4 linked regions of the Alligator mississippiensis genome follow. The protein of the gene in region 3 interacts with the protein of the main gene of each other region in a biochemical or structural test. Links are inferred from orthologs where the notes say so. Each region holds a gene or a part of one and is shown on either strand. Other genes may lie near its edges.

Region 1 (7,305 bases), on a different chromosome or scaffold from region 3:
AATACGGGTCCTCCATCGCGTTCCCCACAACAGGCGCCTCATCAATGGAGGTGCCCCCCACTAGCATGGCTTCCCCTCACACGTCACATCAACACGGCCCCCCACACGTGTGCAACACCAGTGCGGTCCTCCCCGCCCTGTATGCTGCCAGCATGGGCCCCCCGGCCTGTCACATGCAGCGGGCGGCTGTGGGGCGCGGCCGCCAGGATGCGGCTGAGTCTGGGGCGGAGCCATCCCACCTGCATCTGGCTGCTGCTGAAGGGCCCGTAGAGCTCCGCCCCCGCCGTGTTCTCCCACTTGTACTCCCACAGCACCTCGTCCAGCGCCGCCTCCGCCACGGCCACGGCCCCGCCCCCTGCGGGAGGAGGGCACAGCTCAGCCCCGCCCTCTCACAGGCAACGCCCCCTGCCCCGCCCCGCCCCGCCCCGCCAGGCTCACCAGACTCCTGGGTTCGAAGAGCCGCCTCATCCACCTCCTCAGCAAACATGTCGAGGGTGGGGCCAGTGGGCGTGGCCTGGGCAGAGGGCGGGGCCAAGGCCCGGAGGCGGAGGGCCAGGCGCTCCCGCGTCTCCTGGTAGACGCCGTAGTGGCCCCGTGCCACCATGAGGTCGGCCAATCCCGAGAGCCGCTCCAGCCGGCCCCGCCTCTCGACCTCCTCGGGCGGCTCTGGCTCCGGCTCTGGCTCCGGTGCTGGCTCCACCTCTGCCTGCCGGCCCCGCCCCCGCCCGCGGCCCCGCCCGCGGCCCCGCCCCCGCCCCCTGGGCCGGGCCCCGCCCCCGCCCAAGCGCTGGATGGCCCGAGCCACCGTCTCCCCCGGCCCCACCAGCTCCACCAGCCCCTCCAGCGCCGCCTGGGGGTCTGGGAGGGGCGGGGATTCCCGGCCGGGCTCCGTCCCCTCCGCTTCGGGGCTGCCCCCTCCCTGCTGGGACTGCCCCCGGCGGCGGGCGGGCAGCGGCTTGACAGTCACCTGCGGGGGAGGGGAGGGGAGGGTCAGGGCCCAGCGCAGCCCGCGACCTCCCTCCTACCTTCCCACCCCCTCTCCCCGGGCTCCCCATCTTCCATCCCAGTCTGTCCCAGTTCCTCCCGGTACCCTACAAAGCCCCCTCCTCCCACCCCAGTGTCTCCCAGTGTCCCTCTCCTCCCATCCCAGTTCTCCCCAATGCCTCCCAGTGCCGTTGCGTTGCCCCGCAGTGTCTCCCACTCCTATGCCAGGCCTCACCCAGTCGAGCGAGTCGAGCCAGGCGTCTGGGGGCCCGTCGTCGCCGCGGGGGAAGTAGTTGCCGGCGGCGTCGAAGTGGCCCTCGGCCAGCTCCTCCCGCAGGTTGAAGGGCGTGAAGCGCACCCCCTCCTCCTCCAGCACCGAGCCCGGCTCCTGGCCTGCGTGACGGGCGGCTTCAGGCTCCGCCCACCCGCCAGCCCACCCAATACCCCCACGTCTGTGATAGACAGCATCCAGCGCCGCTGGTAAGCCCCGCCCACAGGATAACCATCCCAGGCCCCGCCCACAGCCACGAAGACCCACCCACTGCACCTGCGGTCCTTAGTAAGGGGCCGCCAGACTAGGCTCCGCCCACCCACCGGTGACGGACAGCCTTCACAACAGGTCCCGCCCCCAGCTACCAAGAGGCGAGGAGCCTCTGGCTGCTGGTTGCGGCCTACCAGTGCAGGCCCCGCCCCCTGACCCCGCAAGCCCCGCCCCTTGACCCCCACTCACCCTCCACGTCCTCCGGGGCCAAGATCCCGCCCCCGGCAGCTTCTTCATCCTCGTCCTCCTCGTCGCTGTCCAATGAGTGCTTCCCCTTGAACCGGCTCCCGGGGCCGCCGGGCTCCGCCTCCTGCACCTATGTGCGGTTAAGGGGCGTGGTCATCGTCAAGCTCCGCCCCCTTCCTCCAGGACTTCACCCCACCTTGAGTACGAGGTGACGCAGCCCCAGGCTCCCAGAGCCCCCCCCCCCCCCCCGCACTCACCCCACGCTTCTTGGGCAGCCCCCCCAGGTCGTCGTCGTCGTCCGGGTCCTCGAACGTCACCTTCCGCTTGGACATGGCGGCCCAGAGCCCTGGGGGCAGGAATGGGGGTGAGGGGCGGCCCCAACCCCCTCCCCCGGGGGGGGGGGGGGGCAGTCCCTTGCTTCCCCCAGCCCTCTCCCTTCTTGGTCCTGTCCGCCCCACGCACAGGTCAGGGCGAACGCGAGGCTGCCGGGAAGCCTCCCCGCCAGGGGGTGCCCCGCCACCCGCTCAACCCAGCCCGGAGGGTGCCAGGGCCTCCAAAGACCCCCCGAGCCCCTAAATGCCCCGGAAACACCCCCAAAGGCCCCTCCCGCGCGCCGCCGCGCACATATGCAAATGAGCGCCCCCAACATTCCAAGCGCCCCCCCCCCACAAAGGAGCCCCGCGCACCCGGGACTCCGCACTCAGCCTGCACTTCCGGGTCGCCCAGCCCCTGACCCCGGAAGTGACCTCAAGCCTCGTCGTCGGACCAGCCCCCTGCTTTTTTCTTTTTTTCATTTCTCACCAGTGAATTTACTGTTTCAGGGATTTAAACAGATTTACTGTTCGAAAACACTAAAAAAAGCCCACAACTTATTTATGGGCGACTTCCGGGTGTGAATCCCCGGATGTGACGTCACACGCTCAGGCCGGCCTCTTTTTATTGGTTTCGTCACCCGCGTGAATTATCTTTACTTGCTGGGATTTAAACCCGGTCTTGGAGGGGTTCCTGCCCCCGGCCAAGTATATATTAAAGGGGGAATACGACTTTCGGGTGCGGGCCGGAACTGACGTCAAGCGAAATTCGCCCTGCCCCTTTTCTTTAATTCCGCCCCCCATTTCTTTTTTTTACCTTATTATTATTTCGAAATTTAAGTTTTTGATTTTTAGGAAGAGACTTGGAAAAAATATCGGGAGGAAGCAGCTTCCGGGTGCGGCCCCTCCCCCTTTTTCTATCCCGTTTTTTATTTCTTCAGTAGACGATTTATTCATTCGTATTTATTCAGTGGTGAGGGGCAAGGAGTGCGGCCGCTGCCAGGACAGGAAGTGACGTCGCTGCGCGTTTGCTTCTCTGGCTTCAATAGGAGGGGGAAGCGTGAGCAGGAATTAAAGGGGCCGCGGGCCTTTTCTTTGGAGGGCAACAAATGGAAGTGACATCAGGGCCTGGCAGTGGGCCCGGTGGAACAAGGGAGGGCGGCAGCGCGAGTAGCTCTTAAAGGGGCAGTGCAACCATTTCTCCATTCTCCCAGACCCCCCATCCCACACATACTGCCCTGCCACCCACCAATTACCCCAAAGTATCCACTCAAGACCTGCCCCTTGAGGGGGGAGGGGGGCCTGCAGACAGCGCCATTAGCATGTGCTGAGGGTGCCACCCCCCACCGCACAGGCTGCTATGCCCCGGGCCCTGCACATGCCTAGGGTTGGCTCTGCCTGTCCCCCCCCCAGTCCCCCAACCCCTCCCCATGGAGCGCAGACCCACAATCTCCAGCACCATCACCAGTAGGCTGCCAGAGCATCACCTCGTGGCCCCCCAGACTCAGTCCCCACCTTCTTAACCCCATACCCAAAGACCCCCGAACCAGAGCTGAATGAGCTCCTGCCCCCCCCGCAGAAAGACCCAGTGACTCTAGACCCCCCACCCCACAGGCCTCAAAGAGCCAACCACACTCAAGAGACTCACCCGCCCCCCAAGGAACTGCACTGTCCGCCACCCGATGCCCTTGAAGACTCAGCGTCTCCTGGCCAGGCCAACCTTGGGTCAGCCCAACCCCGGCCCACCAAACCCAACCGTGGTCACCCCAACTTTAGCACCAGGAACTCAGTGGCCAACACCACAGAAGCCCCAACACCCCTTCAAGCAGACCAGCCCCTCCCCCGCTCTGCAGGTGACCCCGCCCCCAATGCCTTTGAAGAACCAACATCTCCCCACCCAACATCCTTCAAGACCCCACATCCTCCACTCAACCCAACCGACATCCCCCCACCCCTCTCACACCGGATCGGTGTCTCTGCCCCCGCCCTGTGGAACAGAGACTGAATTCGCAGATTGGTTCTTTCATATCGTTTGTATTTTTTTCCTTGTTTTTTTGTTAACGAACCTTTTGAAACCCAAGCGACAGAACAAAAAGATAAACCAATGGATGGGAGAATAGGCACGAAAGGGGAGGGATGGGGGGGGCAGAAATAAAAATCAGAACATCTCCGAGGCGGGGGGAGAGGAAATAAAGGACGTATCATGTAAACATCGCGTGTCCTGATGTGCCTGCCTGGGGCACGGGGGCGGGGGTCAAATGATATTGGGGTCAAAGGGGGTGAGGTCAATGACTTCCAGTGTCTGTCCCTTTAAATTAAGTCATGGCGGAGTATACATAATTACAATATGGAGACATATATATAATATATGTGTAAAGACACGTATATACATGGGACGCAGGGGCACAGAACCCAGACATCTGGCCTCCCAGGCCCTGAGCTATCCCATCAGCCCCCACTCCCCTCTCACAGCTGTGACCATGCCAGGTGAGCTCCCAGAGCTGAGGGCAGGGTTTCCAGTTACGTTTTGGGGGAGGGGCAAGCTCCTCATTGGCCAGCAGCTAGGCCTCAATAAAGCCCACCCCCAACTTCCTGGGGAGGGCTGCTGTTGGGGAACAGGGAGTGTTGGGAAACTTCCCCGCCCAAACAAGGGGGACAGGGGGAATAAAGTCCTCAGCCAATGAGGGCACACCATCTGAGGCGCTCAGGAAGCGTACAGATGGACGCGCTGTCGGGAGGCGATAAAGTTCACCGTCCAATGAGGACGCACCGTCGGCGGGCAGCACGTTGACAGAGCGCCCCCGACGAGGAAGCCAGCGGGCATGCTGTCGGCGGGCAAGAACACTTGACGTTCAATCCGGAAGCGCAAGGCCGGACAAAACGTCTCGAGCCGGCCGCCCAATGAACCTCGCCCAGCGCCCTCTTGGGGAACAAGGGGGCCTAGTCCAGCCCGCCCGCTACGAGAATGGACAAACTTTATCGGGAGCCCAATCAGTGAACAGCAGGCTGCCCAGCCAGGCCCTGCCCCCTTCCTCAAGAACCAATGAACTTTATCGAGAGCCACATTGGCAGACAACAGGTTCAGGGACGGGGCAAATAAAACTTTATTGGTACCCCTGGGGGCCAATATCAGTGCAAAGGAGGAGCGTTCTGTCGCTAGGGATTGTGGGGAGGAGGTGGGATGAAACTGGTTAAATAGTTTAAGGAGGGAGGCGGGGCCTATTTACAAACAGGGGCGGGGCCTCATTGGGTTACTATTATTAATACAATTATCTCCTCGTTAAGACTGGGGCGGGGGTGGGGCAATGCCCCAGTAGCCCTTCGGGAAAGGGGGTGATGTACCTGGACCTCCGCCCCCCTCCCCATTGGTGGGGAGGAGGAGATGGCGGCCATCTTGGTTGATGAGGGAGCCATTTTGGATCAGATGGGACCCCCTCCTGGGGGAAAGAGAGGGAGGGAAGCCATCTTGGGTAAGCAGCAAGCCATCCCAGATGAAATGGAACCATTATTGGAGGCAGGGAAGCCATCTTGGGTAAGCAGGGAAGCCAGGATGGACAAGATGGGAGCCATATTGGCTGAGGGAACCCATGTTGAACTGGAGAACGGACGCCATCTTGGTTGAGTAGGAAAGCCATTCTGGATGAGATGGGAGCCATATTGGATGAGAGAAGCCATCTTGGATGAAATGAGAGCCACATTGGAGGAAGGAAACCATTCTGGATGAGATGGGAGCTGCCTTGGTTAATGAAGTCATTCTGGTTGAATCGGGAGCCATATTGGATGAGGGATGCCATCTCAGTTGAGTAGGGAAGCCAGGAGCCATATTGGATAAGGGAAGTTATCCTGGTTAACAAAACCATCCTGGATGAGATGGTAGCCATATTGAAGAAGAGAAGCCATCTCGACTGAGTAGGTAAGCCATCCTGGATGAGATAGAAGGCATCTTAAATGAGGGAAGCCATCTTGGTTAATGAGGCAGGAGCCCTATTGGATGAGGGAAGCCATCTTGGCTAAGAAGAGAAGCTGAGGAGCCATGTTAGCAGATGGACACCATCTTGGTTAATGAAGCCATCCTGGGCAAGATGGGAATGACCTTGGTTCAACGAGGAGTGAAAACGACTCATTTGGCATAGTGAGAAGCAAGGGGGTGAAAAACATTGGGGGATGGGTGGCCGCCAGGAGCTGAGGGACCCCAAAATGGTTTCCCATGAGTCTCCTCAGCCCCTGATCTCCCCAAAATTGGTCCGTCACCCCTCCTGCCCCTCCTGTATCCCCGGGGGGCAGGGGAAGAGTTCAGAAGTAAGTGTCCTGCAGCGTGGATCCACCTGCCCCGGGCTCCCCGTCCTCCGGGACCACGCCCCCAGATTTCGGGGGCTCCCGGCGACGGAAGGAAGTCTTCTTCTCTTTCTTTTCCTTCTTCTCTCTCTTTTTCTCTTCCTTCTCCCGCTCTTTCTCCCTTTTCTTCTCCTGCTTCAGCCGGGCTTTCTCCTCCTTCTCGCGCTTCTTTTTGTCCTCGGGGCCCACCCCTTTTGTGTCCCGCTGGGGGGGCCCTGCCCCCTTGTGGGGGCCCCCGAGGGGGGCGTTGTTGCCTGTTGGGGAAGGTAAGGCCGGGTGCAGCCCCTCTGAGACCACCTGGCCTGAGGCGGCCGGGGGTGCGGCAGCAGCAGCCAGGGGTGCCAAGGTGGGGCGAGGTGGCTGGGGGCGGGGCTTGAAAGCCAGGCCAAGGAGGCCAGGGCTGGCGCCAGGGGGCGGGTGGAGGCGGTGGCGCTCCTCATGGATGGCGCGTGAGCCGTGCAGGCGCCGGGAGGGCTTGTGCTGAAGCTCGCCCCGCGTCTCCCGCCACTTCTTGAGCTGGGCCCCACTCTCCCGCTCGATCAGGGCCTCTGTCACCGGCAGGCTCACCACCTGGGGGGGAGGGAGGGATCATGGGGGGTCCTAAGGGCATCTGAGCAGCCCCCAGTGCCCCCTTTTGTCCCCTAGCAACCCCTGTCATCCCAGCATCCCCTAACACTCCCCAGAGCCCCAGTACCCCTTAGTAAACCCCTGTATGCCAGCATCCCTTATGAGTCCCTGTAGCAACCCCTTCTGTCCCAGCATCCCCTAGCAACACCCTCCACAACCGCTACTACCCCTTAGCAAACCACTGTATTCCAGCATCCCCAAGCAAATCCCCTCCATCCCCTAGCAGCTCCCCCACATCCCAGACTCCCTTAGCTACTTCCTGTATCCCCTAGCAACCCTTCCACATCCCAGCATCCCCTAGCAACACCACCCACAGCCCCT
Region 2 (7,535 bases), on a different chromosome or scaffold from region 3:
AGTAAATTCTGCTTGCCGCTTCACGGTGGAGTCACATGCACCCCTGGTTCACTTTGGTACTTGTGAAACCCTGCAATGTCACACAAATGTTAACGGCTCCTCACTGTGGGTCAGACAGAACCCAAATTCACCCTCATTTATTATGTGACCTGTAGATAAATAAAATTCACAGTAACATGAATTCCCTGTAGGCCTTGGACCCGTTACATTTATAGTGTTATAATTGCCCCTGTAGCATCACATTTGCACCATCTGTAGTGCCACAAAAAATGTTCCCGTTTCAAGCAAGAACTTCTACAAAGCACTAAATTTTGCAGCACTGCACATAACATGTGGCCAGTTACTAGGCCTGTGCAAAGCAGCAAGTATTCAATTCAGATTTGGCTGATTCAAGGGGCAGTGATTGGATTTGGTGATTCGAATCACTGTCCCGATTTGACTGGGCCGATTCAGATTTGGAGATTCGGCTGCCGAAACGGCTACCGAAGCTTCAGACAGCACTAACAGATAGGGATATGTTCCCAGGTGGGGAGGGAGAGAGTGAGGCTGGAACTAGGGAAGGGCTGGGGGGAGGGATGCCATTCCCAGGGCTGCACCGTGCTCTGCTTGTCCCCCTGTGCCTGGGCTCCACCTATCCCCAACTTCCTGTGGCGTGCTGTGATGCAGGCAGCTGGTGTTGGCTGCTCCCAGGGCCACTGCAGCAGGGGCTGGGGGGAGTGGCAGCAAGCGGAGCCCAGGGCAACACAGGGCACAGCACAACTTGTCTGCACTCACCCTAGCCCCCACTGCAGTGGCCCTGGGAGTGACCGGTGCCAGCTGCAATGGGAATTGTTGGGGGGTGAGGGGGCGGAGGCTTCTGTGTTGTGCTGAGACAGCTTACAGAATCAGTTTGCAGCATGTCACCTATGGCTAGGACACACAATATCCACAGCATTACCCTATTCTCTAGAAAATCTCAGCTGTAACAACCATACTATACATGTGGTTATACCAGTTAAGGGTAGTGAAGCATTTCCATAGGGAGCATATTTCATAAGAACCTACCAAAGCCAGATAATTAAATCTGGTAGAAAAGATTTCTTAAAGACAGCTTACTGTAATGCAAGGCGTGAGAACAAACAGAACCTGGAATCTCAATTAGGTTCTAAACTTAGTACACAAACACGCTCTTAAGACAAGTCCCTCCCTAGCTTCACTGAGGAGCTGCTTCTACTGTGAAATAGCTGGACATGCAGCCTTCTGAAGGGCTCCAGGGCCTGCCCTGCAGTGAAAAAGTTCTGCAAAAGCAAAGCAACTGAAGATGTGTGAAGGACTGGTAGGAAGGGGGTGCATCGTTGGATAGGCAGACATATTTTCATGGGTTTCATTTTAATTTCTCCTGATGGATAGCTGTTTTAAAACTGAAATATGGGTCACCGAAGACCCGGGAGCTAAACCGTTAAATATTCTTAGGAACACATTCATTTTTTCCTTAAACAGCTTGTGCTTTTATAGGACTATAATAAAAGAAATTTAAAAATTCAAATAAAACCATCCCATGGTCAAGTCAAGCAAGCTGAGTGCGAAGGCAAACATGTTGCTGTATATGCAAGTGTGGCACACATTTCTATAGTTACTATATCTGTGTGCTAAGCAAGCTGAAGGCTAATGTTAGTATCAAAGAGAACTCAACAGGAATAGCTGTGAATCAGACAATGAGTAGAAAAGTAGCTATGTAACAAAATTATCCACAAAACAGACTTCTCATGACAATTTCCATGCCATTTAAAAGGACATTTGCTGGAACATTTCATAGGGATTCTGTATTCTGTAAAACAGTCCATAGGGGGAAACTGATTACAAACAAGAGGCTGTCAAATACATAAACAAACATTTTCTGTGAACTTTTCAGTTAAAACTTTTAACCCACACATCTTGCACTGTTGTGCCAGCTGAAGAAGTCCTCCTCTTTCTGTTGACAGCATTAAAAATGGAAGCTGTTTCATGCTTAGTGACTGCACAAAGAAAAGATTGTGGATACAGTGTATACTGCTGGGCAACTTATGCATATGCATAGAGCCTAGGACAAGCGGGGTAGGGCCCTCAGACATTACTCATTACAAATAAAGCAAACACGGAAAAGAGCAAGATGTACTCACCGTTTGGTTATCCTCATACAGCTTCAAGTCATACCCACTCAGCTCCACGCAGAAAATTATTGCTGTAACCCCCTCAAAACAGTGGATCCATTTTTTGCGCTCAGACCTCTGCCCACCCACATCCACCATTTTGAAAGTCAGCTCTTTGAAGGTAAACTTATTTTCCACAATCCCTGTGGTCATGTCCCGAGAGCGCAGAATATCTTCCACTGTAGGAATATAGTCCAGGGCTGCAATCCTTTCTAGGTCATTCAAGTAGTATGCAGCATTATCCTCTAGGTGGTACTCATTGGAGCGACAGAAACACTCCTGTACACCAGGGTCTGCCCAGAGCCGTTTCATGACCCCTAGAAGCTCAGGAGTAATTTCTCCTTTGCTTTCAGCTGGGCCTGTCAGGGCAAAAAGCTGCACAGCATCATAGGCTCTGTCTGGATTGTGGAACTCTATCTTAAGGGTGGCTAGAGCACGAATGATACGCGTTAGAGAGTCAATTGCATTATAGATAATCAGAGGTTTATACTCCTTGCAAGCCTCCAAGTTAAAGCCGCCACTGTGAATGATTTTCATTTGCTTGACAATAGTACTTTTGCCAGAGTTGCTAGTACCCAGGAGTAAGAGCTTGATCTCTCGTCGCTGTCGTTGGCTTTCAGAGCGCAGGTGGCGGTCAATCCTCCGGGACCGCCTCGCTGCCTCTTTCTCCTCAGAGCTTTGCCTACATCCCATGGTACAGCTGACTATTGCAGAAGAGGAGGACTAAAGAGTCTCTCTCTTTCCTTCTCTGTCTCTGAACAAGAACTGCAGTATCTTTCAATTCTCGTGCCAGGTGCACCCTGTAGAAAAAAAAAACCCACTATCCAATAAGTGATGGCCCAAGAGGCCTATACCAACTAGTTCAGTCCCAGAAGGGGTGCAAAAACAGGTACAAATGCAACCACAGAGATAGTCTCCTTAGTAGATCTCATGGCACTCCCCTTTCCTGTGGCACATTCCTATTAATGAAAGGACACTTCCCTTTTCCACAGTGTGGCCGGATCAGTTAAATAGCCTTTTCTTTTCTGCATAATTATTTTGATTCTTTCTGTCCAAAGGTAAGGAGCTGCAGTTTCATCTGTTCTGCTTTAGCCCCACTTGTCTTTTAATTGTATTTTCCGGTTGCTGTGGTGATGTTGCTAGATAGAGCTGAAGCTCTGGTACAGTCTGGTGCTGTGTTTGTTTTGTTTCTCCCCCACTTCTTTCGGTTGATTCAGTTCAGATCTGTGAATCTGTGCTCTCCACCTGTCAAGCAGAGACAGAAGAAATTAATGAAATTGGGGGGCGGGAGGGGGAGAAGAAGAGGGGAGGGGACTATGTTTCCTTGTTGCAAACCATTCACTTTTTGTTTGCTTCTGGCATTTCTGAACCTTTTATCATCCCAAACAGACAACCCAGATGGAAAATGTGTAAAGAGAAGCAATAAAAATCTTGAAACAGCAAAAATTCAGGGACAGCTGAAGTCTGAAGACCTTACAAAATGTGTGCCCTGAACAATAGTAAATCAAATTCCCTTTTCTTTCCAGCCTTCTGTGTTTTATTATCTAAACCTACATGCAAACAAATAGTGCTGAGCTGTGTCCCAATTTCTCCCTCAGCAAGAGCTGATGGCAGCCCTTTCCTGAACAGCCCTGTTCTGACCGGTTTTCCCAAAGTGGAGAATGTGAGATAGATTTACAGCTATTTTACCCAGTCTTGGTATTTATATTTCTATCAGTTTCTGGCAGTCAGATTTGTGTACACAAATGTCCTCCTAAGACTTCCCTCCCTCCCCCATCTTTTCTGTCCATTTTGCGTTGGAACATTTAGCTTTTGCAAATAAATGATGAAACAAAAGGAAGGGATTAGGTTTGCCTCCAGGTTTTGTGAAAGGGTTTATATATGACAGGATACAATTATTGATCTTTGCAGGAATCCTTGCTTCCCCTTAGAGTACAATTGTCTTGTTGCATCCTGCTTAATCAATGGAGTGATGCACTAGTCAAACAAAATCTTTAAGGGATTTGCTTCCCATAGCTATCACATTTATTTGTTTATTCCCCTTGCTTCCAGTTTCACTGCAGTAAAACTGATGTGCCATTAATATATGGCAGGCATTTCATACACTACACACGTGAAAAATATCCAATAGCAATCCTCCTATGGGAGTTCTTACTGACCAGGTCGTGTCCTGCTAAATGTGATACTCAGAAAATAGGTTCAGGGGAACACTTTTAAAGGTGAAGAAGCCATTGTTTTTCAATGAAAATAACATTCTTATATGACATTTTCAAAAGTCTCTTAAGCATGTTAGGTGATTTTAAAAATTTTATCCTGAATTAATTTGCTAGAGTTTCCATATAAACAGGACAAGACACTACAAAATGTATTAAAGAGAACACAGTCCAGCAGTGGCCGTGGGATGCTCAGGGCCTGCTGCGGCCAGAGCCCCACCATGGCACAGCGTGGCCCTGGCTGCCTCAGAGCCAGTGCTGCCTGTGCTGCCTCTTGTGGGCCTGGCCCAGCGGGGCCTGGTTCAGGGCTGTGTGCCTTTGGGCAGCTCCAGGCTGCTTGGGCCGTCATCTGGGGTCCGGTGCCATTTGCAGGAACCGCACGTTGCGCCGGGCCACATCCTGCCTCTATGGAATCAGCCCGGCCTGGCTGTGTGTGGGGCCCGTGGAGGCAGGTCACGGCCTGGCATGACACGTGGTCCCTGTGAGCGGGGCAGGGCCCCAGGTTCCAGCCCAAGTAGCCCAGAGCTGCCCGAAGGCACACAGCCCTGTGCCATGCCGTGTTGAGCCAGGCTGGACCCGCAACAAACAGCATGGGCGGTGCTGGCTCCAAGGCAATCGGGGCTGCGCTGCGCCATGGTGGGGGGCGGCTCTGGCTGCAGCAAGCCCCGAGTGCCCCACAGACACTGCTGCTGCAGGGGAGAGCTGTGGCTGCTGCAGGCTCCTGTGGCTCCCATGGGGGGGGCTTTGGGCCGTCTGTGAGCAAAAGGGGCAGGGACAGCTCTGATTTTCTATGACAACCCCCACCCCCTGCCAAATAAATGCCAAAACATTTAGTTAGAATTTATTTGATGATGATGATAGAGGCACTGGCTTCCAAATTGTTTTAAACTTGTATATATCAATAAAACACTGCTCAACTGATCCCTCTCTACATAGTGGTGTTTCATTTTAATAGTGGAAGAACACTATTTTGGGTATTTTAATGACAGAATTGGGGTTTTTTATCAGAGGATTTGCAATTTTTTAACAGAGAACACCAGGATCTCTGCTGGTGAGACAAGTTGTGAGACCCATGCAGAGGAGCCTATCCAGAGCCAACACTGGGGATCCAGCTGGAGGGCAGACGAGGTGGCTGACCTCTTGCCATTTGGGGGCAAGAGGAGACACTTTGACAGTTCAAAGCAGGCAACCACAAGAAGTACATCTTCTGGGGGATACCTGCCCAGATGGCAGAGCAGGGGCACCCCATCTGGGTCTGGCAGGCATGCAGCCATGGGGTCACAGGTCCATGGGGGGTGGATGCTGTCACAGGTGGCAGCAGGTCACAGCCAGGCAGCAGCCCCCTGCTGCCAGACTGCTGCAGTAGGTAGAGGGTGCAGGGGCCACTCTAGGTTAGGGCTGTTTCAGCAGTCCAGCTGACACAAGGGGCTAGTGTCCCCAAATACCAACTGGCTGCACCGCAGAACCCCCTGAGCTGCTCATCAGCTTTTTATACTGCCGGGGCCAGCACCGGTGGCCCCAGGCTCTAGCTCCCCCTGGCAGCAGGTCCAGGAGGAGCTGGACAGGGTTTTTTTGCCTCAAGTGGCACAACCTGCCCACACCAAAGTGCATGTCCAGGCACATGCGCCGAGGCAAAAATCCCCAGCAAATTTGTACCACTCTTATCTGAGCTGCTGCAAGCTCACGTGCCTGCATGTGTGGACACACCCACTAGAGGCATACAGAATGTGCATACAAAAGTGAAGAGTGGCAACAAAAGTTTTTACTAGCACCCAGTCAAATTCAACAGATGACAGACAATTGCATCCTTTTTCCTGAGGCTGTACTTGCTTTTGCCGCCTTTGTATGCATCTTTACATCCATGCTTGACCCAGACTGCTGAAAGGAGATGGAAGACCGAATAAGTGTGGACACTAAAAACCCAGTGCCCTCAGGAAGTTTACAAAGAGTCTTTATGGCAGCAGTTCTCAAACTTGTAGACTCAAGGCACCCCATGTTAGACTCAGGGCATCCCTTGGAAAATGCCAACTCTTATTTTTTATGCTTTTTTTGAGTATAGGAAATTAATAACTCTGTATTTCTAGCTGAAATATATGGGTTTATCCTGTGAATCACATAGTGTTAACATCGTGCGACACCCTGGTTAAAATCACTGTTTTATGGGTTAGGGTTAGCATTAACAGCAGAACTACATTGAGGAGTGTGTCCACTCATCTACCCCGAGTAAGTAATATCCTGCACTTGTTTCAAAACTCTGACTACAAAAGGCATGAAGGAAAATGGTAGAGACCCATACTGAACAGGTTCCTGCCTCACATTCCCAGTCCAGTGTTAGAAAGCACATTTCTAAACTAGCTACTTATTCACCTGCTCTGCGGAGGATATCCATAACACTGTCTTCATAGCTTCCTTGTTGCTATTTAAAAAAATGCCCGTTTTCTTTTGCTTAATTGCTGTGCTCTAGCACCTGCTCACATGCTGCTTCCACACCTCCAGATGTGTTGGATAATTGTATTATTGCAGGCTCCTCTGTTAACTAGCTCAAGATGAAACTTGTCACCCACTGTCTTCTTTCTCCATCCCTAAGTAACACTTCCACATGGTAAGAAAATGGAAGTGTGAACAGAAATGAGGCAGAGTACGAAAGGCAGGGTTTTAAACCTGGATGTAATGTGACAGCTTTCTGAAAGTAGCCATTTCATTTATTGATGTATTATTTAACCAAAAATTTTAACTAGTGTTTTGCTTGGCTCAGTCTTACAAAGGTGATATAATCCCAGAGAATTAATTTGGAGTATACTGTGCTGCAAAGACACTAACAGAAGGCCTTAAGTTCACAGTGCTTCTCTACTCACTATCTAGTCTGCTGAAAGAGTGCTAACACCGCTGTTGCTACTTACCTTGCTCTCCTTTACTCCCTCTCTCAGCAATTGGATACGGCCTTGGCACATACTAAACTCATTATGTACAAATGATCAGGACCAAATGAAAATGATACGGCTTGTATTAATAGAGCAGTAATTAGCATAACCATGTTTATTCTGGCAAATTCAAACACACGACTGTAGAAAAAAACCTTCACTGAAATGTATATTATACTATACATTCGTCACAGAAATAGTTTTGCCCGGTGGTATATGAGACAGGACTGATG
Region 3 (7,950 bases):
GGAGTCGGCTTTTATCAAACGGTGCCCTTGAAAGCAATATTACTTGCCCAGATCATGTTTGAAAGACCTTGGGCTTTGTTCACGTGGACTGTTCCTGCATTGACGTATGTGGGCCTTACTTGGAGTAAATGAACACAGCTCCATTGACTCAATTGGCATTGCTCCTGCTGGTAGTGGGAGCAATGCCACTGAAGTCAAAGGAGTCTGTCAGGTGCGAAGACGATAGCCCATCTCCTGCTGTCGGGGGGAGCGTGGCTGTGTGTGCATGGGAGTTTTGAAGCACTTTTATCAGAAGAGTTACCTTTGCTTTCTCTCATGCACATGCAACCTTGAGGCAGGTGGAAGCCTGGCCCTGAGTGACATCAGTTGGAGTTTTCTTACACACTTCCACGGGGCCAGGATTTCACAGGCTTAAGATCCACGTGTTCTTTGCTGCCTGTCTCTTGGTGCACGCACTCTGCAGGCGCTGAGAGTACAAGTCATTGACTCCATAATCCACCTGGCTCCAGAGTCGCTCAGATCACAAGTCATTACTTCGGCACTTTTCACAAGAGGATTTTGCACTGCATCTACCGTAGTGACGTCACCACTGAGGGGAAAATGGAAACTGGAGCTGAAATCTTCTCGGAGGAGAGGAAAGATGGAAAGGCAGCCTAGTTTGCCTTGTGCTTCTTTCGCTGTCCTTTGGATTCCCATGCGCGAGGTTCATTTTGTTCAACCAGATCTGTTTTTGAGGTTGAACAAAATTAGAAAGCTCCCCTTCCCCTGCCCTCCCCATACCCCCAATGAATGTAGCTTAAACTAGACTCTTCAAAATACACAATGAGAGAGAAACTGCTCCCAGGCTGGGACTCTCATGTTTAACTCCCAGTATGTTTTTGAGAGAGAGAGGACCTGATCCTTTGGTAGCTCCATGGCTTGGTCCTCCAGGGTCTGAGTTGGAGGATACTATTGAAGAACCTGATTGAGATGCACCTTGTCTGAAAGCCCAGGGTGAGAAGGGAAGTTGCCAGTGGTGTGAGCTTACTTCCAGAGGCCCCAAACTGGATAGCACTGCCCAAGATGGGACTTTGGTTAGGGGGCAGGGGATGCTCTGATTGAACTGCCTATTCTGGAGAGGCTTCCCAGAGAACCGTTGACTAAGAGTGAAGGTAAGGAAAGTCTGATGGGCAACCACTGCACCCACACACTGTCAGAGCCCCGCTGGCTTCCACGCAGCACTGATGAGGAGGACCCCGAGGTGTCGGTGGGAGTCCTGCAGGTGGCTAAATAGCAAGTGTCAAATACTAGGGTCTTGAAATGGAAATGCAGGCTCGCTATGGCAGTGCAAGGCCAGAGCAAGAAACTATACGTGTCCTCCAACGTAATTAAGAATTACTCCCACGCTGCTATGCTGGGAGACCGGTTTACTTGGACCTGACCTTCCTTAAGAGCCAGCAAGCCTTGAAAGAAATGAGGCTTTCACACTTTAACTTCTTATCAATGACCTATCCCCAGTAGCTGTATGCTAGGGAGCATCTTTTCTCCTGTGAGGCAGGATATCCACAGATGAATCTTTCTCCCTGAAACAGAGAGACTTCCTCCTTCCTCCCCGAAAGTCCAAATGGGAAAACTGTAAATAGTCTTCTGTTTTTTGCAATGTGTAGCAAGGAAGCCTGAGCGCTCCCTCAGAAATCATTTTCACCACTGCTTAGTGAATGGGCTTTTAGCATCCAAAGCTAGAACTAGACACAAGGCAAGTATGTGATCAAGTCAGGCAAGAAGATTAGTAATCAATGTAGCTTTCTGTATTTCTTCGTTTGACAAACATCTTAATGAAATTGTATGTTTTCAGATGTCACCATATTCTTTTTAGTATGGTTTTTATACATATATATATAAAATACGTGTGTGTGTATATATATAAATATATACATTTCATCTTTCCTCCTTTTTTCCTATCAACTTAAAATAAATGACTTAGTAATGTATTCTCTTATTGTATAAATCAGGGTTTGGCTTGACACACTGAATTTTCTAAATTATATATCTAATAACAGTAAATACTAACTTTTAAAATGACCCACGAGTGGGTATATATTCTTCCATTGCACAGTAATGCTTTTTATATGAAATGCTACTTTTAAATATATATATAAATATATAAACTAGGTTACAGTTATTCTAATGTATTTTTATAGCTGAAGGTACATGGAAATGCTAAGTTTTAAACCTCATGTATATAATATAGAATATTGGGTATCTTTTTTGTAATGTTAGCTTTTCAAGTTTTAATAAAAATGGTTAACTTTGTGGTACAGATTATAGGTGTGACATTTAACATCTTGCCCAGTAAAAAAGTACGGGGGGGAAATCTGATTTCACTCCCAAAGGTAAGTGTGGCTCCCTTTGTATTAGAAGATATTGGAGTTTGTCCTATTATCAGGCCAAATGCTGCCTTGAGATAAGCTTTATGTCCTTTACTGAGGCTGTTGTGCTCCCTAAGACCTTCCCCTGACTTCCTTAGGCTCTGACTTGCTGGTTATCCCCTCCTTGCCCTTCACGCAGTCTGAATTTGGGCCATTGTCAACAGAATTGAACGTTGTAGATGGGTCAAGCGCTCCTGCTCCTAGAACAAAATGCCCCTGTTGTGCTATAGTAGCAGCAGCCTGTCTCCTTGAGACCGCGTGCTGTCTGTCCCCCTGGTATCCAGTCTTCCCCAGCGGGTTTCCAAGAGCAGAAAGTCGTGCTGAGCTCACAAAAGGGACAACCGAACACTGAACTACCTTCAATCGGAGAGCACCGTGTCCACGATGATACTGGATTACCAGCGTGGGTGAGCAGGGCACTTTCTGCCAATGCAGAAATGCGTTGGCATGGGCCAGTGCTGTATAAGTGAAATAAGACAGCTCTTCCAACCAGCTTGCCCCCTGTGGGGTCAAATCCTGCTGGCCTTACTTGCTAGTCCTATTGACAGCAGGCTAGGATTGGGGCTGCTCCAGCCTTTCTCCATCTGCAAGGTGGTCTACGTCCTCGCCTGGCAGAAGTGGGCATAGTTTGGGAGTGGAGACCCAGCCTTACAACTCCACACTGATTTAAAGGGCATAAAGCCCAAAGCCAGAGAAGTGCTAAGACTGCTAGTGGGGTGTTGGTTGTTGCCGTGTTGCTCTACAGACGTGGGCAGACTCGTGGGAACGCAACGCAGGAAGAAGGGGTTGCCATTAAGAGCGCATCTTAGCTGAGCATCTGGAGAAAATTCGTGCTTATCTACATCAGTCTGTCAGCACAGAGATGGGTCCTTGGTTTTATTCTGTGTCTTCAGAGAAACCTGCTGCAGAAAGAGTTTGCAGGTGGGGATTTGTCTCTATAAGCCTGTCTCAAGCAGGGAAAGACGGAGGCCTGAGGGGGTAGAAGAAAAGGCAATGAGTAAGAGACTGGGTAAGGGCAGGATTAAGAACAGAGATGAGTTTGCCTTGCTCCTCCTGGCTCTTACGACAGTAGCAGTTGGATTTGGGGAGTGGAGGCTGCCAGGAGAGCTGTCTGATGTGGTGCAGCTGGGACCGAGCTCCCTCAGCTGCAGGGATTTGGGGTCCCAGCTGCACCCTGGGGGCAGCATGCGGGTGCGTGGAGCACCTCCACATCCCTGTGGCTGGGAGATCACATTGGCTGCCATCTCCCAGCGCCCTGGAGGTGGCAGCAGCTGGGGTCTCCCCACCCACCTCTGTCTACACGTGCACCTTGAATGGGGGGTGGAAATAAAGGTTTTCCAGCAATAACTTTATACCTGATTGGAGTGTTTTAAGGTGGGAGAGATCAGTTGCAAGTGTAGCTGGTCTACGTTTTATGGTACGCTTGGCTGGGTAATTGTGCAATAAAGTGTGTGTGTGGATGAGAGACTGAGATGGTGTGTAGACACGTGTAGGAATAGAGTGGGTGTGTGCGGGGGTAATCGAGTGTGTGCGCACAGATGAGAGACTGAAACAGTGTGTACACATGGAATAGTGTGTGTGCATGTGTGTGTATGGGCACTACAGAAAGTGTGTGCATGTGTGTAGGCAAGTGTGTGAGTGCACAATAGTTTGTGTGTGTGTAATAGTGTGCATGCAGGCAATTTGTGTGTGCATGTGCGCAATAGAAAAAGTGTAGGCAACAGGGTACGAGTGTGCACAATAGTGTATGTGTGTGTATGCAGGCAATCTGTGTGTGTGCACAATAGAAAAGTGTAGGCAATAGGGTGTGAGTGTGCACAATAGTGTATGTATGTGTAATAGCGTGCATGCAGGCAATTTGCGTGTGCAATAGAAAAAGTAGGCAATAGGGTGCGAGTGCACAATATGTGTGTGTAATAGTGTGCATGCAGGCAACGTGTGTGTGCATGCGCGCAATAGAAAATGTGTGTAGGCAATAGTGTGTAAGTATGCACAATAGTGTGTGTGTAATACTGTGCATGCAGGCAATTTGTGTGTGCATGTGCGCAATAGAAAAGGGGTGTGTGTGTAGACAATAGGGTGCGAGTGTGCACAATAGTGTATGTGTGTGTAATAGTGTGCATGCAGGCAACGTGTGTGTGCATACGCGCAATAGAAAATGTGTGTAGGCAATAGTGTGTGAGTATGCACAATAGTGTGTGTGTAATACTGTGCATTCAGGCAATTTGTGTGTGCATGTGCGCAATAGGAAAGGTGTGTGTGTGTGTAGACAATAGGGTGCGAGTGTGCACAATAGTGTATGTGTGTGTAATAGTGTGCATGCAGGCAATTTGTGTGTGCATGTGCGCAATAGAAAAAGTGCGTGTGTAGGCAATAGCGTGTGAGTGTGCACAATAGTGTGCATGCAGGCAATTTGTGCGTCTGTGTGTACGTGTGTGCAATAGAAAAAGTGTGCGCGCGGGCAATAGAGAGAGCAGGAGCGCGCCGGGCCGTGCTGGGCGGGCCGGGGGCGGGCCGACGTGCGGCGGACACGCCCGGCCCGGCCCGGCCCGGCCCGGCCCGGCGCGGCGGGGAGGAAGCGGGGCTCTTCCGTGGGCGCGCCGCCCGGCTGCCCGGCCGCGGCTGCAGGTAGGAGCGCTGCGGAGGAGGGTGGCGGCGCAGGGCAGGGCAGGGCAGAGCTGCCCCCAGGGCCCTGGGCGGCTGCCGCGCGGAGCAGGGGCCCCTGGGGGGACAGCGCGGGGTGGGTGTCACGCAGGGGTGCGCGGAGAGCCAGGAACAAAAGCTCTTCTGGATGGAAACCAGAAAACGAGCTTTCCTCCAAAGCCCCCAGGTACCCCCCGGCTGACTCCCCTTTCTCCTCTTGCAGCATCCGTCCCTTTCCTCTGGACGTCGTTCCAGCGGCAGCGCACGGTGCCCAAGGCGCGGGCCCGCGTCCCGGGGAGCCGGCCGGTGCACAAGGGACCCGTAAGTCCATCCAGATCGGCGAGGCCGCCCAGGCGACGCCCGAGACGCCCTGGCAGGACCGCAGGCCCGGGGCCGGCGCAGCCTGTTGCAGCGCGGGAGGAGCGAGCGAGATGAGGGGCAGAGTTTGCGGGAAGGGGAAGAGCTCCAGAGCAGCCTGGGTGGGTGGGTGTCGTCCGCAGCAAGCGTCCGTTCAAAGGGAGCCGAAGTTTGGGCTCCTACCAGGTGCCACTTCCTAAAAGCTGGCAGTGGAAAGGAAATCCTTTAAATACAAAGGGAAACTACTTTGTATCCAGTAGCCTCTACAGTAACCCCTGGCCCTGCTCTGGAGTTTTTCGTGGTGCAGAGCAGTGACAATTGATAACCCCTGGTTTTACTTTTCGCACGAATCTCGGAGCGCCCCATAAGCAGTGATTAATTCAGCGCTGCGTCTCTACGCTAACCAGGGCAGTTCAGCCAGATTCAAAACGGGACCAGAGGCGTTCGTGGAGGGAAGGTGAATCAGCAGCCACAGAGCCTGGGAGTGAGGCTTCTGAATCAGGGCTTCCTGGAGCTTGAGTGCTGGAGGCTGCAAGCGAGAGGAGCGGTGGAAAAAAGCATCCCCGTTCACTCTCCTTTTCAGCATCCGCTCTCTGCTGCTGTGACACAGGAGGCTAGGCGACACAAGGGGCTTGCTAGCATTCCCAAGTCATTGCATCTTGGTTGTTATTTCCTTGAACGGGCCCAGGGCGGGTTACTTTTCATTGTGTCTCTGCTCCCGTGGCAGGAGCGGTGCTAGTGGCTGCCAGTATTTTATGGGATGAATTAAGCTCGTGCCACGGTCTTTCGGCAGGGAGCTCCTGGTGTTCCACGAGGAACCCGGGACTTCAGGGGACCTTCGGAGCCATCGAATCCAGGTCTGAGGTTGACAGATGTAGCAGAGATTTTGCCCTAACATTGCACCAATTTACCTTCTCTCTTGGAAAATACTTCTCTGCGTGGGGCTTCATCCTGCCTTCTGCAGTCATCCGATGAGCCCTCGGTCGGCTGGTTTGTTCATCCACCTCATTACCCCATGTTAGTGCCCATTGTAAGATGCCTTTAACTCTATCTTTGGCTTCGAAGAGGGCATGACATTGTTTGGGAAGGCAGTGAGATCTGACGGTTTAAGCAGGGGCCTCCTGATGTTGCTCTGGAGCCTGGACTTGGTGAGCGATATTAGGCAAGGCATGCCCCAGATTACCTATAACGTGGGTATGGCACAGAGGGCCAGTGTTATGGAGAGGCTTAGTTAACCGTTGTGAATTGCTCGGAGAAGCTGGGAATGCAAAGCTATTTATTTTTAAAAGCCTCCTGGACTTTGGACTCAATCTGAACTCAAGCTGTCTGCCTGCCAGGAAGTCTCCGAGGAGAAATTGGGAAGCTTGCAAATAGCATCTAAATCTGCTTTAAAATATATCGCTTCCTGCTTTAATCTGGCAGAGTGGATACTGCAGCACCTTGGGCAACATCCACTGGTTATTGTTGCGTATTCAAGAGAAAACCTTATGTCACAGCTGAGACATGGAGCAGTAACTTAAAGGTATAAAACATGACAGGGATGTTGCATCTTGTTCCCCGATCAGTAACCTGGGAAATTCAGGGCACATGCTGAAAAGAAATTCAAAGGTGGGAGAGTTTAAAGATGTGCGGTTGGATCACCTTAGCACTGCCTTGCATTGCCTTCTGCAATAACGCAGTTACGGAGAGGACAGGTTTGTATTCCTGGCCTCGGACGGGGGCAAACTGACTTCTTCCGCACCATGTATTCCAGAACGATTTCCTGCGGGGTCTCCATGGGGCAGAGCGAGGGAGTTAGTGGCACATTTGGAAATTGTGTCCGGGGCAGTTTTCACCCACCTGCAGTTAGTGGTCACTGCAGACTACACAAGTTGCAGCATGGCATCTAATTTTTCCCCCCCCATGATTGCTAACATTGTTTTAGGGGGAGGAAAATGTCACGTAAGACTGGATGTCTGCTGCGGGGGGGCTGTGGGGCCAGTCTCTGCTTTGCAAGAGGACGTATTCACCCTTGCTGTAATTCCTCAGCGGAGTTGTAGAGGATGATTTATTTGATGTTGCCAATACTGTGGCAGTGCCGCCTCCCACCCTCCCCACGCATACCTTCTAAACCTGAGACATCAGTAGGCGCCGTAGGGAGAAGATGGTCCTCGGTGCTAGTAGTTTTGCAGATGCCACGTTCAGTGATTTGGCAAATATTTTTGCCTTGTTCCAGGCTTTCTTAAAAGAGCAAAGCAAAGGTGGTGGTGTGTGCAGTGACCACTGGGTGATCTCGCACAGCGTCACATATTCACCCTCACCACAGCTTCTGATCTTGCTAGGGTCCCCAGGCAAGAAAGAGGAAGATCGATCGGGGTGAATCCAGGATTTGGCCATGCTGCTCAGGTGGCTGCACCCCCTGCTCCCAGCCTCCTCCCCCCACCCACTGGTGTGCAAAGACAACCCCACCAGAGACGCTGGGGACTTTTTTGTAAGTCCCCCAAAGCACGTCAGACTCCCCCCTTCCCCTCCAGGCTTAAAGGAACGCTCCCTCCCTCCCTTT
Region 4 (7,621 bases), on a different chromosome or scaffold from region 3:
CTTCTTAAAAATGGTTTCAGAGCTGAGAGATCAATTCGTCTCTTAGTAACAAAACAGGAAAGATGTTCAAAGGTCAGAAAATAATTCCTAACTTAAAGTCTGGCAGGAGCAGGAGGAAGAAACTATTTACAATCCTCAGTGCATCTACAAAAAGGATATTCCAGCATGAATATTTTACCCAGGAGAAATTTGCACGCTCATCAGAAAAATGCCAAACATCTTCTGGTGTCAGGGATGTATTTGATGCTTTTGCAGGCAAATGGCTTTTGGACAAGTTTAGAAAGATTAGAGTAAGAGCTTTCAAAAGACAGCTTTCAGCAAGGTTGCTTTATGCCTTGTTACTTGCACAGAGGTCAGATGCAAAGGACACATTCGTGTAAAACTTGACTCTGGCAAGTTGTTTTTTTTTTTCCCTTTCCGAAAGGAAAAAAAAAAGCTGGAATGAGAACCATCTGAGGGGCAAGCCTATGTTTTATTCATGCTGTTTTTTTCTAGTTGCAGCAATGCAAATACTGCATAAATCAGGGTCAGCATTAATTTAGTTACATTGTTAGCAGAAATAAACCACAGGTAAGTCCCTAGGCCCCAAGTTTAATTAAGATACCATAATATATGGTGATTGCCAAGTCATTGACCTGAATACACTGAATTTTAAGCTGCAGTTACAAAAAGCTAAACCTCTAAGAAAAGCTAGCACAAATAGGAAAGTGCTCAAAGTGATCTAATTAGTATTTTGTCCCCAATACAAGAAAAAAGGCCAGTACCAGAACTGTTTAAGTATGAAAACTTTCTTCCTGAACTAGAACTAAACACCAAAGATTTATTTTTCAAGTAGCTTCCTGCCCTTTCTTCTTCCTTATTGTTCCCTAGATGTTAGTACAATAACCCCTTGACTGGAACTTTACAGAATAAGCCGTAACAGCTATATAAAAAACTTGCCATTCAACTAGCCCTTTGAAAATATTTTACAAGTGTTATACTCTGTGACAAAACGATGGCAGTATTGTTTGAAATGGAGTAGCAAATACTGACGCAAGACAAAATTGGAACTTACATTTTAGCTGTTTTCAGTTACTGATCACAACCTGAAAAATTATCCTTTTTGGCTGAATTTTCCATGCTTGGACCAAAGCCAACAGTAATTAAAAGTTATAAGAAGATCTAATTTGCCTTTGAATAATAAGTCAGCAACAAAAAACACTTTCCACTTTATTTTTTGTTTTGGGGTAGGGAATTAGAAACCCCTTCGCCCACATGATCAAAACAATCCAGTTTGGAGAACTGAAACTTTCTTTAGTGGCTAGCCACCAAAAGTTATAAAGGAAAAAAAGAGAGAGAGAGAAAATTACATATGAATGGCTAAGTATCTGAGGCACTAGAAAACTATAGAACAGAGTAAATGAAAAAACAGCTACAGCTTGGGAACTTCTTCTCTGTGAAAAAAAGGAGACCTAACACTAAATAAGGCAGCAAGGTACTACTGAAACCCCACTTAGCAGCAGCAACAATGTGCATAAACTCACCCTGCAGCTATAGAAATATAATCACAAAAGTGTTCAGATTAGCATTTTAACCTTCTCTTCAAAAGAGAAAAAAAAGAAACATGGATGTTAATACAAGACTACAAGAGTTAAAGCTCCATGAGCTCTATTAACTCCTGCACATTAAATATAGGCAACCTTACTACTGTTGCAAAAAGTGCAGTATTTTGTATCAAACAAGTGCATTTCAAAGCAGATACACGTGTGACTCAAAAGGAAACTGCAGACAATAGCAGTGCTAATCTTCACCGGGCATTCCAGGCAAATTAGTTCCTAGAGTCAAGTTATTGTACAGTCAAATCAAGAAGGTATTTCTGCATCTGACCTCTGGCAAGTAACAAGGCACGAAGCAGCCTTGCTGACAGTCGTCTTAGGATATATATTGCCCTGGTTGTTAGATCAGCAGATAACCAAGCGTCTCTTCTCAGTCCTCCCCATTATACCAGACTTTTAAGATTAATTTGATAGCGTTCCTACTTGATAGGACAGACATCAAGGCACAGACTTGGTGAACAGCTGAAACAGTTGGCACAAAAAGCAGTGTATTTTGTTGCCAGGCCAGGACCTTGGATGTTTTCATAGCGAGCTACATTTTTATGCATCTCTCGTACCCAACTCCATCCCCACAACTCTGCAGCTGCCCCTAGGCAGGGTCGGACTGTGAAATAAACTCCCTCCAGAGGTGGTGGTGCAGTCACCTACCCTGAAGGTTTTCATGACAGTCACCTTGCTAGGGTCACCTAACCCTAGTTGTCTTACTGGGTGGGGAGGGGGGGGGTCTGGGCTGGATGATCTGCGAGGTCCCTAACAGGCTATGTATGAATCCAGCCCTCCCTGGAGCCGGAACAGAAAAGCTGGGGTAGAAATAAAGCGTTTCAGTCGTATTTTAACTCTTCACAGGAGCAGGGAGAGCCAGGCTCTCGCTGGCCGCCGGCAGCAGATGGCAGACCGCTCCGGCCCAGCCAACGAGCCCCTCCACCAGCGCCGGCAGGAGCCCACCCGGCCCGGCCCCCGCCCCGGCCCAACGGACGCGGGGCGATCGCTCCCTGGCCGGTCACCCCCCGGCCCAGCCCAGCCCGAGGCGGGCCGTGACCCCGAGGTGGGGCAGGGCGGGGCAGCCCCCCGCGCGCACACAAGCCGGGGCGGGGGCGGGCCGGGCGCGGCCGCTCTCACCCTCGGCGATGACTCGCTTGATCCGCAGCTTCATGTCCCCCAGCTCCACCGTCTGCCCCACGAAGTCGTTCTGGTCGCGGCTGGCGGCGCCCAGGGAGCCGGGCCCCGTCAGAAAGTCCAAGGCAGACTGCAGCAGCGACATGGTCGCGCCGCGCCGCGCCGCGCCGGGGAGCGGGGCTAGCGCCGGGCTGCTGCCGCCGCCTCTTCCGCGAACCTCCAACCGCACTGATCCCTGCCGGCCACCGTAGCTAGTCAGCCACTTCCGGGAGGCTGACGTCATTTATGACCTCACTGCACCTCCCGGCAGCTATGCCCCACCCTGGGCACGAGGGGCTGGAGCGCGGGTTGGGCCGAGGCCGGCGCCGCTGCTGCCCCGGGGTCCCGCCCGCGCATTGGGGGCGGGGCGCCTGCATCTCCTGCCCGCCCCCGGGAGGTCTGGCCTTGCCGGTGCCCGCGCTCCCACCCGCAGCCATGGCCGAACCCACCCAGGGAAGGGGCTATAGGCTGGAGCTGCCCCTGACGCTCCTGCCCGCCTCCTTGGCCGCAGTAGGAATTTGCTCCGAAGAATGAGTTCAGAAATCAGTCCCCGCCGCAGACCGCACCCGGGAGATCCTGTCACGCTGCGGGGGCCCAGGTGGCAGGTTTCCAGCCTCGTTACGTGCAGGCAGAGCCCGCGCGTGCCAGCCGCGACAGTAAGTGCAGCGGGATACAAAACTGGGTCTCGGAGCGAGGTGAGCTCAAGGGCTCGATCGTGGGGGGCCGGAGACTGCAGCGCTGGGCCCCCAGGCCCAATCCTCCAGCACACGGTTCAGTCCTACCTGCAGGTGGGCCCTGCGAGGCTCAGCTGGCCCGTGGGGCCAAAAGCTGAGCACCACTGCTCTAGACGCTTGAGCGAGCTGGACTTGCCAAAGCCCCACAGCAGCATCTCGTTTATTTGATTTATTTTCTGACAACTGAGCCAACGTACCTTTCGTTGCAGAAAGCACTTCTCTTTCTTCCTCTGTACACACTTTTGTTACGTTGGGTAACATCCACACAAATGTGGATTTTTCCATTAGGTTTCAGTACTGGTCTGCAAGTTGATGAGTTTGGGAAATGACTCCCATCTTCTCAATCCTCTTTAATTCTTCCTTGACTTCTTTTTTGCAAACAAATGGGGATGCGTGCAGGAGCTGTCAGAATAAACAGAGTCAGTGATGGTGCCAGTGTCTGTTTGCCTGACTGCCTCACACAAACCTATGAAAATACAGATATTGTATGGTTTGTCTGTTGCTGTTAATCAAGGTCAAATTTCTGGAGTAGGCAGAGACCTTGTATTTCTGGCAACTCCAGTAGGTGAAGTGTTAAGCCTCGTATCACATCGTAGGTTGTGGCAGTTTTCTCTCATTTTTCCAATATCCCTTTCAACTAGCCAGAAACTTCTAATGTAGCATTATTTACCCCAGCTCCTCTGTGGGGGCTTCTTGTACTAGCATCCATCTAGTGTTATTACTGCTAGTCCTCTGTAGTAGTGGGAGCAGAGGACCACAACTCTATGACTAGGGGCCTAATGAACTTGAGGCAGGTGTTGGCCAATTTTGTGTGCAGATCGCGGCAGCCATTTTGGCCAAGCACAGCAAGCCCCTGATGGAACAACAGCCACAGTGGCCCTAGCCCTCACTGTTGATTGTCTGTGAGGGTGGTCCATCATGTGGCCCCTCCCCTTGCCATTGAACAGCTGCGAGGCCTGTCCATCATGCCACCCTTCCCCCTTGTGGATTGCTGGCGGTGGTGAGGCTGAATGATGCACAGCCCTGGCAGCCAATCAGCGGTGAAGGGCGGGGATGACAGCCATCTTGCCCTGCAGCTGTCCTTCTTCCCTTCCCTCCCCACAGTGGGCTGCACAGCCCAACCACAGCAGCCATGAGGACGGCTGGCTCCCCAGAAAGAGACAGCATTTTATTCTTGGTAAGTTTTTTGTTTTTGGGGAGCCTGCCAAAAGCCCAGAGCCTGGCTGAAATCATAGTTTCCAGGAGAATTGCAAAACTGTGATTTCAGTAGGTCACTACCTATGATCACTCCACATGGCTCAGTGAGATGGCTGCCCTCTGAAAGGGAGTGGGCACTGACTTCTAACCTGAGCCTTTATTCACAACTAGCCAATTGCCCATCAAGAATGATGGGCGGGGGTGTGGGTGGGGACAGTGGCCTGCATCTGGCTACCCCCCTGCACCTTCAGGGCCGGGCCTGCTCCCCCTTTCCCCCACTCCGCCATGGGGCCAGGCCTGCCCCACCCACCCTTCCCGCCACCATTGCGGGGCTGGGCCTGCTCCCACCACCCAACCTCCCTGCCACTGTTTCAGCGCCGGGCCTGACCCCCCACCAGCCCTTTGTCCATATTCCCCTCCGTACCACGTGCCCCTTCCCCCATGTGGGGGGAAATGGTGCACAGTCCAGGGAGAAACACGGAGAAGGGGCACACTGTGTGGGCGGAACATCGGTGAAAGGACCTGTGGTGTGGGGGGAACACAGGTGGAGAGGCATGCTGTGCATTGGAGAGGCGTGCACCATGTGTGGGTGAAGGGACACATGGAGTGAGGAGAGTGCAGGGAAAGGACATGGGAAAAGGAGCACTCCACATGTCCCTTCCCTGTGCCCGCCAAACTGCATCCTTTCTCCCATATTCTGCCCTCCACCCTTTCCCTGTGCTCCCCCTACACCACAAGTTCCTTCCCCATGCTTTCCCATGCACCCCCTGCTTGCCACATGAGCCACTTTGGCTCCTTCCAGCGCCATAGTAGCTGCTTGGCTAGCCTATACTTTAATATACTATGAGAGGTTATTTCCCCCATGCTGAAGAGGAGGAAAGACCTCATCTTATTTGAATAAATATGGTATCCCTATGTAGTCTATAATTAAAATTGCCCCCAACTTTTTTTTTATAAGATTTCATTGCAGTTGCTTAGAGGGTGGGCAGATAAGAACAGGATGGGTTTCAACACTGACAAGTGCAAGGTACTGCACCTAGGGAGGAAGAACCAGCAGCATACCTACAGGCTGGGGAACTCCCTTCTCATCAGTGCAGAGGCAGAAAAGAATCTTGGAGTTATTATTGATGCCAAAATGAACATGGGCCGACAGTGTGGGGATGTGGTCAGGAAGGCTAACCGTACCTTGTCATGCATCCACAGATACATCTCAAGCAGGTCCAAGGAGGTGATCCTCCCCCTCTAAGCGGCACTGGTCAGGCCGCAGTTGGAGTACTGCATCCAGTTCTGGGTGCCACACTTCAGAAGGGATGTGGACAGCATTGAGAGGGTCCAGAGGAGGACCACCCGCATGGTCAGGGGGCAGTAGGGCAGGCCCTACTAGGAGAGGCTAAGGGACCTGAACCTAGTGGCTGTTTACAAACTAGTCAGAGGGGACCAGCAGGCATTGGGGGAGTCCCTGTTCCCCCGAGCACTACCAGGAGTGACTAGAAATAACGGTCACAAGCTGCAGAGGGTAGATTCAGACGAGACATCAGGAGACGCTACTTCACAGTCAGGGCGGCTAGGATCTGGAACCAACTTCCAAGAGAAGTGGTGCTGGCTCCTACCCTGGGGGACTTTAAGAGGAGGCTAGATGAACACCTTTCTGGCGTCGTTTGACCCCAGTACTCTTTCCTGCCATGGCAGGGGGTCGGACTTGATGATCTGTCAAGGTCCCTTCCAACCCTACAACCTATGAAACCATGTATGAAAATGTGAATGCCAGATGTCTGCTTCAAGGCAGTTTTTCTTTCAGCCAGAGGTGTAATCCTTTTTAAAATAACAGGAAAATGGACTGTTTCATGCATAGTAAAAAAATGTTTTCTGGAAAAAATCTGTAATCTCTGTGCTTTGGACCAGGGATTTGAAATTTGTCAGACCAGCTTGGTAGCCTTTGCATGAGGAATTATTCATATTTGGCAAAGGAAAACGAGTTCACCCATTAGAGGTGCACCAATACTGATGTACACCCGATAGGTCCGATATCAGATCCTCACCGATATAAAGAAAACCAGAGAATTGCCCATCAAGAATGACAGATGAATTTCGATTAACGAAAACAAACAGATTTGACTTTTTATATTATATAAATTAAATATTTATAAAACTTAAATAAAGTAGGCTGAGCATTTGAAGATACCAATCCCTTCCTGCACTTGCTCTTGTCCAGCGGGCTGGAGGCAGATCTGTCCATGCTGCCATCCAGCTGCCACCTGCATGCCTCTTTGCTGGGCAAGGGCAGGCGAGCTCCGTGCCTCGCAACAGCTGCCCACGCCCCAGGGCTTCCTCTGCGCTGCCCTCAGGCACCTCCTTCCCTGCTCAGGGCTTGGGACAGGACTGTGACTGCTCACCCACTGCCTCACACCTCTGCCCAGCTCACACTTTTCCTCAACTGGCCCCTCCCTCGGCCCCTCCCACCGTGCTGGGTTCGCCCCGGGTGCCTCCTTTCCTGCTCAGGGTTCAGGATGGGGCTGCTACTGCTGGCCTACTGCCTCATGCCTCTGCCCAGTTCCCAGTTTTCTTCAGCTGCCCCTACCTCTGCCCTCCCCATCATGCTGGGCTCCCAGCACCCTTCTGGGAGGAGCTGAATAGAAACAGCCTTGGCCCCTGACTTTTTCCCCAATTCTGGAAGTTGGGATCATCCTGACATGGTTGCTAAACAAATGCTAGGATTTAGTAAAGAAACTTCTCTGAAGACACAAATGTTCTCTCTCTTACAGTTTTCAAGCTATTCACTCCTAAAGAGTGTTATGGACAGATGAACATACGAACTATCCCCCTTTACATATAGAGAATTGGCTGTATCAGAAATCGGCCTGATGAGGCCAGTAATTTGGCAGATAAATTCCCATGCACGTATGCAGCCACAGCGCAGCATGAGGGCAGTGAGGAGCAGAG

Evidence for each region.
Region 1: the proteins of LRRK1 (region 3) and CD2BP2 form a complex in vitro, tested with the Homo sapiens proteins (2 studies listed by BioGRID and IntAct, with this or other methods). The link is inferred for Alligator mississippiensis from reciprocal best matches to the Homo sapiens genes LRRK1 and CD2BP2.
Region 2: the proteins of LRRK1 (region 3) and GNAZ form a complex in vitro, tested with the Homo sapiens proteins (2 studies listed by BioGRID and IntAct, with this or other methods). The link is inferred for Alligator mississippiensis from reciprocal best matches to the Homo sapiens genes LRRK1 and GNAZ.
Region 4: the proteins of LRRK1 (region 3) and GAK form a complex in vitro, tested with the Homo sapiens proteins (2 studies listed by BioGRID and IntAct, with this or other methods). The link is inferred for Alligator mississippiensis from reciprocal best matches to the Homo sapiens genes LRRK1 and GAK.

What each region holds. Positions count from the first base shown.
Region 1 is NC_081830.1:657,833-665,137, forward strand, and holds the start of CD2BP2 (CD2 antigen cytoplasmic tail-binding protein 2), read right to left. Parts: upstream 3,020-7,305; 5' UTR 2,840-3,019; intron 2,754-2,839; exon of another isoform or gene 2,513-2,753; intron 2,494-2,512; exon of another isoform or gene 2,398-2,493; intron 2,287-2,397; exon of another isoform or gene 2,174-2,286; intron 2,058-2,173; 5' UTR 2,044-2,057; coding exon 1,969-2,043; intron 1,842-1,968; coding exon 1,715-1,841; intron 1,378-1,714; coding exon 1,220-1,377; intron 968-1,219; coding exon 439-967; intron 356-438; coding exon 240-355; intron 1-239. Other genes in the region: TBC1D10B (TBC1 domain family member 10B), read right to left, coding at 6,316-6,927. UniProt on the Homo sapiens protein: Involved in pre-mRNA splicing as component of the U5 snRNP complex that is involved in spliceosome assembly.
Region 2 is NC_081833.1:19,939,217-19,946,751, forward strand, and holds the start of GNAZ (guanine nucleotide-binding protein G(z) subunit alpha), read right to left. Parts: upstream 3,001-7,535; 5' UTR 2,862-3,000; coding exon 2,139-2,861; intron 1-2,138. UniProt on the Homo sapiens protein: Guanine nucleotide-binding proteins (G proteins) are involved as modulators or transducers in various transmembrane signaling systems.
Region 3 is NC_081834.1:7,133,146-7,141,095, reverse strand, and holds the start of LRRK1 (leucine-rich repeat serine/threonine-protein kinase 1), read left to right. Parts: upstream 1-4,936; 5' UTR 4,937-5,036; intron 5,037-5,274; 5' UTR 5,275-5,372; intron 5,373-7,950.
Region 4 is NC_081826.1:153,692,418-153,700,038, reverse strand, and holds the start of GAK (cyclin-G-associated kinase), read right to left. Parts: upstream 3,010-7,621; 5' UTR 2,995-3,009; coding exon 2,715-2,994; intron 1-2,714. UniProt on the Homo sapiens protein: Associates with cyclin G and CDK5. Seems to act as an auxilin homolog that is involved in the uncoating of clathrin-coated vesicles by Hsc70 in non-neuronal cells. Expression oscillates slightly during the cell cycle, peaking at G1.